Rattus norvegicus: one gene and its partners. The protein of the gene in region 3 interacts with the protein of the main gene of each other region in a biochemical or structural test. Links are inferred from orthologs where the notes say so. Each region holds a gene or a part of one and is shown on either strand. Other genes may lie near its edges. The genes, in order: Mapkapk5, Mapkapk3, Hspb1 and Mapkapk2.

The links.
Region 1: of the proteins of Hspb1 (region 3) and Mapkapk5, one has a biochemical effect on the other in vitro, tested with the Homo sapiens proteins (4 studies listed by BioGRID and IntAct). The link is inferred for Rattus norvegicus from reciprocal best matches to the Homo sapiens genes HSPB1 and MAPKAPK5.
Region 2: of the proteins of Hspb1 (region 3) and Mapkapk3, one has a biochemical effect on the other in vitro, tested with the Homo sapiens proteins (2 studies listed by BioGRID and IntAct). The link is inferred for Rattus norvegicus from reciprocal best matches to the Homo sapiens genes HSPB1 and MAPKAPK3.
Region 4: of the proteins of Hspb1 (region 3) and Mapkapk2, one has a biochemical effect on the other in vitro, tested with the Homo sapiens proteins (17 studies listed by BioGRID and IntAct, with this or other methods). The link is inferred for Rattus norvegicus from reciprocal best matches to the Homo sapiens genes HSPB1 and MAPKAPK2.

The regions. Positions count from the first base shown.
Region 1 is NC_086030.1:40,657,760-40,661,320, forward strand, and holds part of Mapkapk5 (MAP kinase-activated protein kinase 5), read left to right. Parts: intron 1-1,536; coding exon 1,537-1,610; intron 1,611-2,656; coding exon 2,657-2,732; intron 2,733-3,420; coding exon 3,421-3,518; intron 3,519-3,561. UniProt on the Homo sapiens protein: Tumor suppressor serine/threonine-protein kinase involved in mTORC1 signaling and post-transcriptional regulation. Phosphorylates FOXO3, ERK3/MAPK6, ERK4/MAPK4, HSP27/HSPB1, p53/TP53 and RHEB.
Region 2 is NC_086026.1:116,839,398-116,843,468, reverse strand, and holds the start of Mapkapk3 (MAP kinase-activated protein kinase 3), read left to right. Parts: upstream 1-1,240; 5' UTR 1,241-1,471; exon of another isoform or gene 1,472-1,475; intron 1,476-1,599; 5' UTR 1,600-1,651; coding exon 1,652-1,876; intron 1,877-4,071. UniProt on the Homo sapiens protein: Stress-activated serine/threonine-protein kinase involved in cytokines production, endocytosis, cell migration, chromatin remodeling and transcriptional regulation.
Region 3 is NC_086030.1:26,430,130-26,433,798, reverse strand, and holds Hspb1 (heat shock protein beta-1), read left to right. Parts: upstream 1-1,497; 5' UTR 1,498-1,631; coding exon 1,632-2,007; intron 2,008-2,668; coding exon 2,669-2,732; intron 2,733-2,843; coding exon 2,844-3,024; 3' UTR 3,025-3,159; downstream 3,160-3,669. UniProt on the Homo sapiens protein: Small heat shock protein which functions as a molecular chaperone probably maintaining denatured proteins in a folding-competent state. Plays a role in stress resistance and actin organization.
Region 4 is NC_086031.1:45,109,501-45,113,607, forward strand, and holds the start of Mapkapk2 (MAP kinase-activated protein kinase 2), read right to left. Parts: upstream 2,827-4,107; 5' UTR 2,526-2,826; coding exon 2,289-2,525; intron 2,276-2,288; exon of another isoform or gene 1-2,275. UniProt on the Homo sapiens protein: Stress-activated serine/threonine-protein kinase involved in cytokine production, endocytosis, reorganization of the cytoskeleton, cell migration, cell cycle control, chromatin remodeling, DNA damage response and transcriptional regulation.

The DNA of each region.
Region 1 (3,561 bases), about 14 Mb from region 3:
GGTTTAAGAAACAGACAGTTCTCAGTTTGTTTATACCGTTGTAAAACTGACAACTGACTGGGTCTCACTGTGTAGCTGTGCCTGGTCTGGTACTCATTGTTGATTAGGTTGTCCTGTATTCAGAGAAGCCTTCCTGCCTCTGCCTGCTGCGTGCTGGGAGTAGAGCAGAGAGCCCTCCTGGCTGACAGTCTTGTTTTGACATTTTGTCCAGCTTTAAATATATTCATGGAAAGCAGTTGCCTGCCTTCACACCATGAGTATGAGAATTGCCTGTTTTGTTGTTACTGAATGTTGATGGCCTACCAGGGAGAGATGAATGGAGAATGCATACTTGATCCACTCCATCCTGGACATTGGGTTGTTTTTATTTAAACATTCTCAAATGGTGATAGTGGGTCATTACTGAGGACAAGTGGTCTAGAAAGTGCCATGCTTCCTTCTGTGAAAGCAAGTGTTTGAACCTCAATCTCTAATGTGGATGGGATACTCTCTGCTGTCAGGTACATCCTTAGCCTGGTAAGATTAGGCCTGAGAGTTCACACTCCTGACTCAGGGTTTCTGTTGCTGTGAACAGACACCATGCCCACCGCAGCTCTTAAACGGACAACATTTAGCTGGAGTTGGCTTACAGATTCTGAGGTTCAGTCCCCTATCATCATAGCTGGAAGTAAGGCAGCGTCCAGGCAGGCATGGTTCTCGAGGAGCTTAGAGTTCTACATCTTAATCCAAAGGAAGCCAAGAGCAAACTGTCTTCCAGGCAGGAGCAGGGTCTCAAAGTCAACCCCTGCAGTGACACACTTCCCCTAACAAGGCTACATCTCCTAATAGTGCCAACTCCCTGGGCCAAGCATATTCAAACCACCACTCTCCCATCCACACAAGTTGAACAGTTTGTTCAAGGATGTAAGCTTCTATTAATACCTGACACAGTTTTCTGGACTCTCAGTTTTTAAGATTTAAAAGAGTGCCAGGTGGGGCTGGCAGGATGGCTCAGCGGTTAGAGCACTGACTGCTCTTCCAGAAGACCTGAGTTCAGTTCCCAGCAACCACATGGTGGCTCACAACCATCTGTAATGGAATCCGATTCCCTCTTCTGGTGTGTCTGAAGACAGCGACAGTGTGCTCACATACATAAAGTAAATAAATTTAAAAAAAAAAAAAAAGAAAGTGTACTTGATTGTCGTAGTGAAGACTCACAAGTTACTGTGCTGTACATTTGAATACATGAGTGGTGCTGGAGGCGGATGAAGGCCTCTCATATGCTAGGTAAGTGTTCTGCCACTTATCTAAAGTCCTAATGTTTGTTCCATACGTTGTCTAAAGCATCATTTGTCTACTTAAATAGACCACGAAGGTGGATTGCAGTTCTCTTATTCTTGAACCTGTGTTATCGGGAGGTAGTGGTTGGGAGGAGATGGCAGTCATGTGAACAAGTGTGCGATTGTGAAGCCTGCGGACTGGGAGGCGCTGAGGCAGGGCTGTAGCTTACAGTTGAGTTACCTCTGCCTCTCCTGTTCATCTTCTTCTTTTTAATAGGAGACCTCCATTTTAGAAGAATATAGTATCAATTGGACTCAGAAACTGGGAGCTGGAATTAGTGGTCCGGTTAGGTAAGACAATGTGGAAAAGTGGGTGTGTGTTCTGGGAACAGACATAGGAAGTGAGCTTTGAGCCACAGGCACCCGATGCGCCATCAGAGTTGGCCTGAGTTTAAATTGCAGTTTTTATTTGGCTTTGAATTGTTGTAGTAGCATGTACCACTGAGCTACCCCAGCTCATAGAGGTGACAAGCTAAACCTCAGGTCCGTCCTCATAATCTGTTTGTTGCATTTTTATGAGTGAGTGTGTGGAAGTCTAAGGATGACTTTCAGGAGGTGGTTCGCTTCCCCCGTGTAGGTCCTGTGGATCTCACTGGCCCCTTGGTAAAGGCCTGTAGTTAGTGTTTCATAGCTAGAAACAGCTAAGTAGTAAAGTCACACGGTCTGTAGTATTATGGGCTGATTTTAAGACGTTAAGATATTTGGACCAGTGAGATGGGTTGTTGGGTAGAAGTTCTTGTTACAATTCTGATGGCCTGGTCCAATAATAATACTGGAAGGAGAGAACTGATCCCTGCAGGTTTCTCTGTGACCTCCTTATGTACATCACACATGAAATAAAAAAATTTAATGTAATTCTAAAGATGTAAAAGGTGGGGCTGGAGGTGGGTCAGAGGTTTAGAGCTGCAGCTGCTCTTGCAGAGGCCTGGGTTTGATTTCTGGGACCCATAAACTGGCTCACCAGTAATTCCTCCAGGGCATCTGACGCCCTCTATCGGTTTCCACAGGGAACAGGCGGTGAACAGACTTACATGCAGGCAAAACATTCATACAATAGAAAGAAATAAAAATGTTAGGAAATAAGACTGGCCTTTTTGAGAGGCCATCGTTTCTTCAGTCCTTTGGTCGTGAGCTGACATTACCTGCTGAGGCTGAGACTCTAGTGTGGCTCCGTGGCTGAGCAGACAGCAGGAGACTTCACCTTTGCCACCTGCTGCTCAGGGCACATTGTTTGTATTCCTTTGCCTGTGTGTCTGAGACAGGGTCTGTTAGGCCATGCTGTCCTGGAACTTGCTGTGGAGATCCTGACTACCATTGTGATTCCTTTCTATACCTAGAGTCTGTGTAAAGAAATCTACTCAAGAACGGTTTGCACTGAAAATTCTTCTCGATCGTCCAAAAGCTAGAAATGAGGTATGTTCCTTATTTGGCTTGCACACGCACGCACGCACGCACAGAGGGAGAGGGGGTGGTCTTTCCTCTGCAGGCCTGAAAACTCCATTAGATGCTTTACTGCTCCAGACAGTGTGGGCTCACCCTCTGGGAACTGAAGTTTGTTCTTCTGGAAGAGCAGGAGACACCCTTAACCACTTAGCTGTCTGTCCAGCCCTTGTTTAAATGTTCTTAGAGCCTTAGGATATATATGTATTTACAGTTAAGGCAGGTAGCTCTCTGGAAAGTGAAGAGATGTGTAAAGACTGTCTATACTTCCTCTCTTCATGTTACCATGTCGAGTGCTCCAGTGATGTGGAGAGCTGGCGTGCAGTCTTCACTCACCTCACAGTTTACATTAGTAGCAGGAATGTGAAATAGTGAGTTGTGCACGTTGTCATTTGTTAATAGAGGGCGTAGTGCATCTGTTAGTGCAGTTTTTTGTTTTTTTTTTTCCGGAGCTGGGGACCGAACCCAGGGCCTTGCGCTTCCTAGGTAAGCGCTCTACCACTGAGCTAAATCCCCAGCCCCGTGCAGTTTTATTTGTATGGAGGAAGCCAATGGTCTGGACAGGAAAATACTTTTCCTAGTATTCTAGGTGACAAGGATTTCTACAGAAGTAGGCCGAGTGTGGTCAGTTTTTGATGGTGTTTCCTGTGTTCTCTTTAAGGTGCGCCTGCACATGATGTGTGCCACACACTCCAACATAGTTGAGATTATTGAAGTGTTTGCTAACAGTGTACAGTTCCCTCATGAGTCCAGCCCCAGGTAAGACTGAACAGGGCCATCACCATACATGTCCATGTGGAAG
Region 2 (4,071 bases), on a different chromosome or scaffold from region 3:
AGTGTCTGCTCCACATTTTGTCTCTGTATTTCCTCCTGTAAGTATTTTGTTCCCCAGAAGAGGAAATTTTAAAGTTAATAGAGAATCTGTCTTTGGGATGGAAGAAAGGAATTTTAATGTTAATATCGATTGATGATTGATTGATTGATTCATTGAGATTTTGGAGACAGTGTTTCTCCATGTAGCAGTTCTGGTTGTACTGGAACATCTCTTTGTAGGCCAGGTTGGCCTCAAACTGACTGAGATCAGCTTTCCTCTGCCTTCAGAGTGCTAGGCTAATTTTATTTTATTTTTTAAAAACATAGCCTCAGGGTTGGGGATTTAGCTCAGTGGTAGAGCGTTTGCCTAGAAAGCGCAAGTCCCGGGTTCGGTCCTCAGCTCCGAAAAAAAGAAAGAAAGAAAAAAAAAACCAACCAACCAACCAAACAAACAAACAAAAAAAAAAAACATAGCCTCACGATGTAGCCTAGGTTAGCCTCCTAATCCTCCTGCCTAAGCCTTCCTCGTGCTGCAATTACTGGTGTTCATCACCAGGGCCAGTGGCTTGAAATAGAATCTAAAGCTCAAATCATGACAAAGTGAAAAGTTGATGCAACTGACCAATGGGAAATCAAGATTTCTGGGTCAAGAACGGCCCAGGTATGTTCAACTTACGGCTGCAGGCTGTAAGAGGTCCAGGAAAGCACGAGTGTGGCCCAATACATTTGCGACAAGTGAGTTGCAAAGTCAAAAGTTTGGTGTATAGAAAGGAAAGCTGGCCAGTGTTAGACAGATGCCCTAAACCACCAGGGAATGAAGAGTTGCGAATTGAACAACCACATGTCCCAGGGCAGACTGACAAAAAAATTCAGAAGTTGAATTCTGAAGCGCTTAGCTATCTGGAAAGTTGGGAGTCTAAACCGCCCCCTGGCAGCAAGCAAAAAGAACACTTCACTCAAGAGCCCTCAAGAGAAACAAAATGTCGTGTGCTGTAACTTTTCAAGATCAGGGATAAAATCCGAGGCTGGTACAACAGTTGGAGGAGTTCCTACCAGTGTCACAGGGCGCTGAGAAAGTTACAGACACTTGAGGAGGCTACGCCCCATTTTGTCCCGACTCAGGGGCGGAGCTTGCCAGGGGCTCTGCCTTGGCCAACCCAGCCTGGACTTGTCTGGCCCTTTAAGGCTGACCTAGCGGGGCCCCAAGTCCAGATGACGCGCCCAGAAGGGGGATGGGGGGTCACGTGGGGCGCGGACCGCGAGACTCTGGGTCCAGGGCTCCCCTCCGCAGCGGACTCCAGGCCTCACTATCTCTTGCCCCTCTCGCCTACAACATGACTTCCGTCTAGTGCTTTGCCATCAAGTGCGCCTTCGCCTGGCACGCCTTTCCTGGGCCCCTATATGGCCGTTTCTCAAGACCTGGCTGCTTCACTGCGCCGGACTCCTCAACTCCACATGTGCCTGGGCTGAGGGATCACCTCCCCCTGCTGTACGTAGGTACTCTCAGGCAGTTTCCAGCTTGTCTTGGCCCAGCAGCCCAGTCAATCTAGTTCTGGAGAAACCAAAGCTGGGGTGTGTCCAAAAAGTCTCGATGGGGAGTGACTCTTTCCCTTTCCTTCAGGTGCCTCTGGACGTGCCAGGCTGGGGCTACCTACAAGCGCCCCGTGGGGGCCATGGATGGCGAGACGGCGGGGGAGAAGGGGAGTCTTGTGCCCCAGCCAGGTGCGCTCGGTGCGCCCGCCTTGGGCGGTGCTCCGGCCCCAGGTGTGCGACGGGAACCCAAGAAGTACGCGGTGACTGATGACTACCAGTTGTCCAAGCAAGTGCTGGGTCTGGGTGTGAACGGCAAGGTACTAGAGTGCTACCATCGGCGCTCTGGGCAGAAGTGTGCCTTGAAGGTTAGTGACCCATCATCTCTCGGAGGGCTGGGATGACCTGGAGGGTCCAACAGCAGATACCTGTGGGTGTATCTATATTCGGGGCCTCTATTAAACATCTACACTCAGCATCATGTTTTATTTTTATACTCTTCCTCTAGCGTCAGACTCATGGTCCTCTCAGCCTCACACATGCGGAAACAGGCTAACACAGGCTGACCTACCTAAGCTCAGGGTGGGTCCCAAAGAGCAAGGGGGAGGAGTCAGTGTGAGTAGAGCTGTTGTACCGGAAGGCAGGAGGGAGTGGCTGTGCGCTGTGGTTCTGGTTTGGGCTTGTGTTTAGGCGCAAAGGATGCTCTTACTCTTAGCCATCCTCTGCAATTAGCTCCTGCTACAGGAATGGGTCTAAGTTTCCCTCTGCTTGAGGGCTGAGCTCCCAAGGCTCAGAATGGGGTTGCTTCCTCCTCACGGCTTCCGACTGCTGAGGCAGGACTATAAGCCTCTTTGACTGCTGGGCTCTTGATGAGTTGGTGGACCCTTGTGGAAAGGGGCAAACTTTGCTCCTAGGCTGACCCACCCCGGGCAGACGATGAGGAACCACTTACCATATCATACTCCCTAGAGGCTGGCACATTGATGTAGGTGGAAGGGGGAGTGGCTTGGAGTAGTTGATCTCACTACCTGAATCTGGTTTGGGCAGTCCAAGAGGCCCTACTCCTACCCGTGTCCTCACCCCACCTCTACCCCGTACTCCAGAACACCTTGAATTTTTTGTCACTGGGAACTAGACTCAATTAGAGGTGGTGCCATTGGCACCTTCCTGGAACATCAAGGTGGAGAGCGAGTAACTCCTGGAAGTTCATAAAGTTCTGTTTTTCATGAGCCAGGGTGCAGAGTCCTGTAGCTGTGGCTGTAATCTCTACCTTGTGTCTGTGCCAGCTCTGTGACCTTGGGCGATAGCCGATTTTGTTCAGGGAGAGAACGGGAGTTGATGTGAACTCAAAATGAGATAAAACACGTGGCGTACTTGATCTAGGCCTGGAAGAGGCCTAGAGAGGAGGCTTCAGCAGTTTCTTCAAGCACAAGATCCAAAAGAATTTTACTGAGCGCCTGGGCCCCGTTCTTTGTCGTTCCCTGGTGTACCAGGCTGAAAGCAGAGGAGGTTGGCTCTCAAGCGGGACCCTAGAGGGGATTATGACGGTGGGTCGAGGGCAGGGTAAGGACTGACTTGAGGGCTGGACCCTAGGTTCTTTATTCGTTAACCCAACAGTAGAATAGCGCTTTGGGGTCCCAGGCAGGGGTGAGAAGGTGGCTTTCCTCGTGGCAGATAGGTCTGAGGAGATGAATAATGAGCCTTACCTTCTCCCTTACCACCAGTTGTCCTGCTTGAATTAAGAGGCAGCCTGCGTGAGGGTGAGCGGGTGATTGAGGCCAGAGAACCTCTTCTCAGGTTTGAGGCTTTGACCCTGACCTTCTGGGGATCACATATTGTGAGCACAGTGGGGATGAGTGAGAGCCTGTAGCCTGTAACCCAGGCAGTTGCAGCTTTAAGCAGGGCTGGGCCTACACCTCCCCCATAGATGAAGTGTCTGACTAATGACTGGGGGAACTTGTGGCTACAGCAGCTTCCACTCTAGCTCCTCCTATTTTAGGGCCCCACCTTCTCCCTGTCCTGGTCTGGGAACAGTGGAGTTCTGAAGTAGTTTCACCTCTGTTCCCCTTAAGATTATGGGTCAGCATGACTTGAAGGCTCTAGGATCTGGCCCTAAATTTACCCTCCAGGGAGAAAGAGATTAGATGTGGCTCTCATTCTAATTCTTTCTGATCTTGGCTCCTACTCTCCAGAAGGGACCAGCTCTACCTCTGTGTATGTGCTGTTTTAGTGGCTTGGCCTTGGGGAAGGAACTAGCACCTTCTCATTTAACAGTTTCTGTCCTCTGCCCAGGAGAGGAAGGATGTATGGGGAACTTCAGCAGAGTAACAGACCGGAGCCCAAGGAGCTCAGCCAGGCCCTGAGTGGGTCCTAACCCTCTCCTCAGCTGCTCTAGTTCAGCCTAGGAGGTCATGGGCTCTGTGCCTTCCTAGATCCATAACTCAGATAATTAGGCTGGCTTGGCTTGATCGTGTAGCCTGAATTTTTCATGCCCATCTTTGGGCTTTATTGCCTGAGGGGTTAGACAGAACCTAGCAGGAAGCCTAAATGCAGCAGGCATCCA
Region 3 (3,669 bases):
ACTTGAAAAATCCCAAAGTGGATAAAGAGGTGGCTGTGCGAACTTGGGGGCTGAGTTTTGGGTCTACAACTGAGGACATGGCTGCTCTGAGGTGTGGTTAAGGGGAAAGTTTTTACGGTGGATATGAGAGCATACAGTCAGAGGCGTCTGGAAGAATCCAGAGCAGAGAAACTGAACTGCATATGGCCAGCAGATTGGGTGTGTGTGGACAGGAGAGAAGAGAGATTGGGAGAGGGACAGATGCCAGCAAAGAGAGATGGGGCAAAAAAGACCAAGAGAGGGGGATGAGGGAGAGAGGACCAAGAGAGCACATACAGTCGTGAGAAGCTGGGGGAGGGGAGCCCCAAGAACTGGAGACGTTTATGAGTAAGGGGCAGGGTGAGAAGGGCTGAGAAGAGCTAAGAGTAGTATTTCAGTTGCCCAGTGAGCCCAGAGGCCAGTGCTCATTGGTATGCTAATAGACATCACAGGTGACCTTTAACCCTAGTTTCTTTTGTATGGACCACAAAGCAATCCATATAAAAGCTGGAGGTGGCTACCATGTGATGCCTCTAGCCTTTAATCCCAACTCTCCCAGAGGAAACGGCAGGCCGATCTGTGAGATCCAGGCCAGCCTAGTCTAATGAGTTCTAAGACAACCAGGACTACACAGAAAAATCCTGTTTTGAAAAAAGATCCTAATCCTAGCGCTAGGCTGGAGGGGTGGGGCAGTTGCAGAAACAGGAGGATGCTAGGGGGTTCACTGCCCATCCAGTTTGCAGGCACCAGGCTTGATGTCTCCCGAGAGATGGCTCAGCGATTAGGGGGACTGACTGCTCTTCCTAGTACCCAGGTTCAAATTCTAGCACCCGCAGGGCACTCCGAGATCTGACACTCTCTGTAGCTCCAAGATCTGACACTCTCACACAGACGTACAAGCAGGCAAAACGCTGATACACAAAAAATAATGTTTAAAAAAGCATTAAAACAAAAAAGAAAAACCCTGTCTCAAAGAAAGAGAGAAAGGAAGGAGGGAAGGAAGAGAAAAAGAAGTCTCAGGGTCAGTAAGATATTTAGTGGACGAAGGCGCCTGCCACCAAGCCTTTGGTCCCCAAAGAGACACATGGTAGAAGACAGCTAGTCTGGCTGGTCATCCAGAGACCTCCACAGGTGTGCCCTGACAAGTGTGTCCCCACAGGCCTCCTTCTGGCTCAGACCAGGTTCAGTTGCTTCCTAATTGCGACACAAAAGACCGTACCCCTCCTGGTTTATTCTCCACAAACGATGGGACTGGCCCCAGGCCACCGCCCTTCAGACTGCAGCGTTCTAAGCGACAGTGGGAACTGCTCCAGCTACCGGTATTACAGTCATTTGTTTTCTTCAACTAGAGAAGTTTCCAGATGGGGGCAGAACCTTCCTGGCCCTGCCTGCCCGCCCCCTTCGTAAGCTTAGGGGGAGGAATGCAGAGGGGAGGGGCGGCGAGGGACGGCCCCTTAGACGGTCATTGCCATTAATAGAGACCTGAAGCACCGCCTGCTAAAAATACCCGGCTGGACACCCATAAAAGCACAGTTGGGGCTCCAGCTCGGCACTTCTCGGATCCTCAGCCCAGTGCTTCTAGATCCTCAGCCCTGACCAGCTCAGCCAAGACCATGACCGAGCGCCGCGTGCCCTTCTCGCTACTGCGGAGCCCCAGCTGGGAGCCGTTCCGGGACTGGTACCCTGCCCACAGCCGCCTCTTCGATCAAGCTTTCGGGGTGCCTCGGTTTCCCGATGAGTGGTCTCAGTGGTTCAGCTCCGCTGGTTGGCCCGGCTATGTGCGCCCTCTGCCCGCCGCGACCGCCGAGGGCCCCGCAGCAGTGACCCTGGCCGCGCCCGCCTTCAGCCGGGCGCTCAACCGGCAACTCAGCAGCGGTGTCTCAGAGATCCGACAGACGGCCGATCGCTGGCGCGTGTCCCTGGACGTCAACCACTTCGCTCCTGAGGAGCTCACAGTTAAGACCAAGGAAGGCGTGGTGGAGATCACTGGTGAGTTTCCCTTATCCCAAGAGGGGACGAAGCTGGTGGGGCGAGCGAGTAACGTGGTGGCAGTGGAGGTGGGGGGTGGGGGTGGGTGCTGAAACCATGAGGGACAGGACCCTGAAAAGTTAGAAATGAGCTCAGGGACCCGGAGACCCGCGTCATTCTCCCTAGCCTGCTTCTCTTGCCCCGGAACGCGGGGTGCAGGTTTGCTCCTAAAAGCTCTGTCATCTTCGATGATAAGGACCAACAGCTGGGGGTGTAGCTCAGGGCAGAGTCTTGCCTGGCAAGCCCGGAGGCCTTGAGGCCTTGACCACCCGCAGCACAGAAACAAAATGAAGGAAGACCCAAGGCACCTTCTGGAAGACCTCATCCCCAAATAAGCAAGTGGCAGGACTCCAGTCAGGGTCCCTAGACCCAGCCGCGGTGGGGGCGTGCGCACAGCTTCGAGTATGCCTACGCTGGCATCCAAGCCTGGGTCAGAGCCAAGCCCAGGTCCGGGACCTTTGCATCCCAAATCTCAGAAGCGAACTTTCTGGAAAGTTTTAAGATCCCAGACAGTCAGGCATCCCACCACACTCTTAATTTGTTTGCCTCCTTGGGGCCCCAGCCATTCCTTAGCTAGGACTGCAGAGGGCTGCCTCTGACCTCCTTCTGTCCCCACCCACAGGCAAGCACGAAGAAAGGCAGGATGAACATGGCTACATCTCTCGGTGCTTCACCCGGAAATACACGTGAGTTCTGGTTCCTTGCATGGAGAGCTGGGGGGTGGGGGAGCGGACCCTGGGCGGAGGGCGGGGTCAGGAGGGATGTGTAACCCTTGTCCTTTGTTTCTGCTCCTCTAGGCTCCCTCCAGGTGTGGACCCCACCCTGGTGTCCTCTTCCCTGTCCCCTGAGGGCACACTCACCGTGGAGGCTCCGCTGCCCAAAGCAGTCACACAATCAGCGGAGATCACCATTCCGGTCACTTTCGAGGCCCGTGCCCAAATTGGAGGCCCAGAGTCGGAACAGTCTGGAGCCAAGTAGAAGCCTTCAGCTTGCTACCCATCCCCAGTAGCCGTCACCAGCCCTCCCTCTCTGTCAATCTGAATGCTCTTTTGATACATGTACTTTCTGTTTTTCTCAAATAAAAGTTGGAAACTACTGCTCACCACCCTCTCAGAATCCAGAGTTGTTATGGTGGGCTAGGGATGAGTGTTTCTAATTGGAGCACCCTTTGGGGTCTTTGCTAAGTGTTTGCTCTAGGCTCAGCCCCTTCCTCCGTCCAGCCTAATATTCCCCTAGGAAGAGGCAGGGGGTGGGGTGGGGTGGGGGGAGTAACCTGGAGATTAAATTTACCAGACTAGGAATGGTGGTATATGCCTGTAATTCCAATACCCAGAAGTTAATGCAGAAGCATTGTGAATTGGAAGCCAGCCTGGGCTACAGAGTTCTTAGAGTGACTGGGCCACATACATGCTGTCTTCAAAACCAACCAGACAAACAAACATAATAGGAGCTTGGGGTGTGGCTCAATAGAGTGTCCTATGGTGTGCATGAAGCACCATTTGATCCTCTACATCAAATAAACCGGGTACGGTGGCACATTCCAGAAGTGGAGGATCAGAAAGGAGTTCGAGGTTATCCTGGGCTACGTGGCCAAAGTGAGGCCAGCCTGGGATACATGAAAAC
Region 4 (4,107 bases), on a different chromosome or scaffold from region 3:
TGTGTGTGCGTGCATATGCATGTGTGTGTGTGTGCATGCGTGTGCATGTGTGTGTGTGTGTGTGTGTGTGTGTGTCTCAAGTGCATAATGGTGAGCACAGAGGACAGAAAGAGCTCAGATGTCAGAGCCCCTGGAACTAGAGTCACAGGTAGGTGTTACCCACCTGAGTCCTCTGCAAAAGCAGCAAACGCTCCTCACAGCTGGGCCATCCTTAGGTTAGTTTTTATTTTTTTTAAGCCCCGGTTTCACTTAATAGAACAAAGAGCAGAACCTAGGAGCAGCCTTCATTTCCCATCATTCCTCGGGGCTATAAGACAGGCTTCTAAATCCCCATGAGAGCCAGGCTGGGCACTACGTCCCTAGGCATGGACTCAGTACACTGTATAGAGCACAGGTCTCTTCCCAGTACCCAAAGGGATCATCAACCCAGCCTGTTCCACTGTTTCCTCTCCCCGTGCTGCCCCCACTGTTTTGAAATCATTTCACTACTCAGCACCTAAAGTTTTCAAAGCGTAAGACTCGGCGGCAGTGGTGGTGCGTGCCACTGAAAGAGGATTTCTTTTAACCAGATTTCCCTCAAGGCTGCGATTATGTCTTAGCCAATATTTGGGTATGAAAATGCTGTTGACACGGCTGCCACTCTCCAAACATCTTGGCTCTCCTTTCTTCCTCTACTCAAAATCTCAACACAAAGATGTACGGGAAATCTGCAATCTGCCATCTGAGTCAGCCTTGAAGATCTGGGAGCGGGCTGCTTGTCAAAACAGTCTTCACCTACCCCTGACTAGAGAAGGGTTAGCATGAGGATGGTTTAATATGCTGCTAGCTTCTTTTCCTTTCAAAACTATCCAAAGGAGAAAAGTACACGAACTTCCGTTAACTATACCAGAAATCTGAATTGACAGCCTAGAGCACTTCAGAGGACAGTGTATTCAAACAGAATAGGAAAGGGTAAAGCAGGTTTTTCTGTTATTGTTGTGAAGTCTTTAGACTGTGTTCCAGCTAAGCAAGAGAATGAACAGCCAGTGTCCCCGGTCTGCTGATGGGTAAAGGCAGATGGCACGGCAGAGAGAGAAATGTTTCCGGAAAGAACATCTGTCACTTCCTCAACAATACAGTTAACTGTGGTCAAACTGTTCCTTAGCCTCCAGTCCCCAAGGTCAGAGCCACCGTTCGACCCAATCAACTCCTTTCCTCACTTACTTACTAACAGGGAAAGAGAAGTGAAAAGTACAAACGCTTCAGTATTTGGGGCCGTGTTAAGAGTCCCTCCCCAGCATTCACACCAAGCAACATTTTTAATGTGATGCTGAAGATGAAAACAGCAAAAACATACAAAGTCCCAGGTTTTGGTCCCGCATATGACAACAGTCTCAACTCTATCTGTACTATAGTCTATCTGTACTATAGAAGGGCTGGAACAAAGCAAGTTGTGTGGGCTGAGGGGGAAGAGAAAAATATAACACAGGAAGTAGTTTGCTCCTCCAATCATTGAGACACCTCGGGAGAAAGAAACCTGACAAGTGACCTTTAGAGATACGGTGTAACCTGAAACCCTTGAGAGAAGAAAACTTTGCAGTGACCCTGAATGACAGAGTCCGGTGGTTCACTAAGACCTTTTGAAATTCCCATTCTCCACTACCACAGACAGAAACAGAGGCAGGCAGACGTAGAGAAATTAAGAGTGGGTTTCCCAAATGCAGGAATAGTGTTTTCCTGCCTTTGAGTCTCCAGCTACGAGGGACCAGTTTATCAGCACTGGGCCAAGCCTTGGCTTACAGACAAGGCTTCCAACGGTGGAGGGAGCAATGGAAACAGCGCGGCGCAGCCTAAGGGGTAGCGCAGGCCAGGCGCTGGCGGTTCCAGACAATCGCGGGACACGGAGGCGGGGTCCCCAGTCTCCAGCGCCGCGCCGACGCGCCCCAGTGCTGCGCGCCGACCTCGCGAGGCCGGAGAGAGCGAAGTCACATTCCGGCTCCCAAATAAGGAGTAGGGTTAAGGAAACCTCAGAGAGCGAACTTCTCCAAACCGACCGACCAACCAGCTCAATGAGTAAAGGGCCTTTTGTGCCCGCAGAAAGGAAGGAGGGAGGGAGGATGGGGCCACCGTGTCCTCGGCTCCGGGTGAAGCGATCAGAGGCCGTCCCGGACCCAAGCGTGGCCTCCCGGCTGGATCCCACTCACACCCCAACATGGCAGTCCCCGTGAGTCCTCTCGGGTGCCGGCCACTCGCGGGGTGACCGGAAGCTGCACCGGATCCCAGCGCGATCCCGGGCGGCCCAGACTTACCTTTAGGGCGAATTTTTGCTGGGTTCTCTTGTCGAAGATCCGCAGCACCTTCCCGTTGATGCCCAGGCCAAGCACTTGGCTGGTGACCTTGTAGTCGTCGGTGATGGCGTTCTTTCGGATCTGCAGGCCCGACTTGACGTGGAACTGAGGGAACGGCGGCGGCGGCTGGGCCGGGGCGGGTGGTGGCGGGCTGGGGAACGGCGCCGGCGGAGTCTGGCCCGGAGAGCCCGACAGCATGGTGCCCGGCGACTCGCGCGCAGAGGAAGGGGCCGCGGCAGCCCCCTCCTCCGGCTCGGGCCCGGGTCCCCGCCACGCCCCGCCCGGCGGCGAAGTTTGCTCCGGGCTGGAGCCGGCTGCCCCGCCCCGGCCCGGCTCCAGGCTCGGCGGGTCGCGGGGCCCCGTGGGTCCCGCTGTGCGCCGCGGGCGCCCACCAGCCCTGCTCCCTCCCCCCGGAGACGAGCGCTCCGGGGAACGCGGGACGGCGGGGCCCGGCCGGGGGAATCGCCGCGCCGAGAAGTACCAGCCCGGGGGCGGCGGCCGCGTCACAGGCTGCTCAGCGTCCTGGGCTAGTCCTTAAAGGGGAGGATCGAGGGTGGGGCTTGGGAGAGGCGTGGGCTTGGGGGAGGGGTGGGCCTTAAAGGGGAGGAAGTCCAGTGGCGGGAGAGCATAGGGAGTGCGAGCTAGCGGTCAGGAAGAGAGCACCAAGAAATCCTAGTTCTTAACCCGGGCCGGGCAGAGGGAAAGGGAAGGAGGGCAAAAGAAAAGAGGCTGGATAATTCAAACAAAACCCTCACTTCTCCAACTGCTTGGATCTAGAAGACAGGTCATCGGGGAATTTGAGGAGGCGGTGTATTTTGAAAGAAACGGATAATTGATAAGAATCTTCCTACGTGGACCCTGGGGGTGGGGGCTACCCGGGCAGTGCGGGGAGCCGGGGGCGGAGAGGGGGGGCGGGGGTTACAGAGACTATTCATCCTAAGATTAGGCGTCAGGCAATAGTAAGGATTTCCTTAATATACTTGTGAGTTTTACTTTTTTTTCCCTCATGGACTTACTGGTTTTCTGAGACTGTATTGCTGTGTTATCATGACCAATTTAGTTATTATGCATTTGAACATATTTTTATGTAAACCCAACATGACCCAAGATAGGAAAGGGATGAGGCACTGTAGCTGCCTGTAATCCAGGGTTATCTGCAGGAGGTTGAAGCAGGAGGATGATGTGTCAGAGGGTCAGCCTGAGCAACAAAGGCAGACTGTGTCTCAAAATACCCATAAACTTCATGTCTCTCTGGGAGGTACACCTATGCCTTTGTGTTCTAAACTCATTGAGATTATAGACCAAGGGGAAAGGCAAGGGGAATAGTTCTTGGGTGGTTGAGGAAATCATCCCTGAGGCTATGACCAATAACTATTCCTGTAGCAGCCTAGTTCTAGTAGAAGTAGAAAAGGGCATTGGAGACATAGCCCAGGAGAATAAGGTTCATTTGCTTTTCCCTGTTTAGATTTCCAGAAGAGGCTTGTCCCAAGGAAGACAGAGGTGGACAGGTGAAGGACAGTAGTTCCCCTCTTGAGATCCAGCAAAACTGAGACGACTGGTGCCCTTTCAAGAAGCACTTTTTTCAGCACTAGGTTCCATGCTCCTGGCTTACCCCTGTGGTGATAATGCTAACCCAGGGGAATGGATAGATGCAGTAGTTGGGTCAGCAGTGTGGCAGATACAGGCCTGGGAATAGAAAGCAAATTAGCTCACTTCAGTCTGCAGCTGGACAGATCCCTTCCACATTGCACACAGGCTAGACAAGTCCCGGTTTCAACGA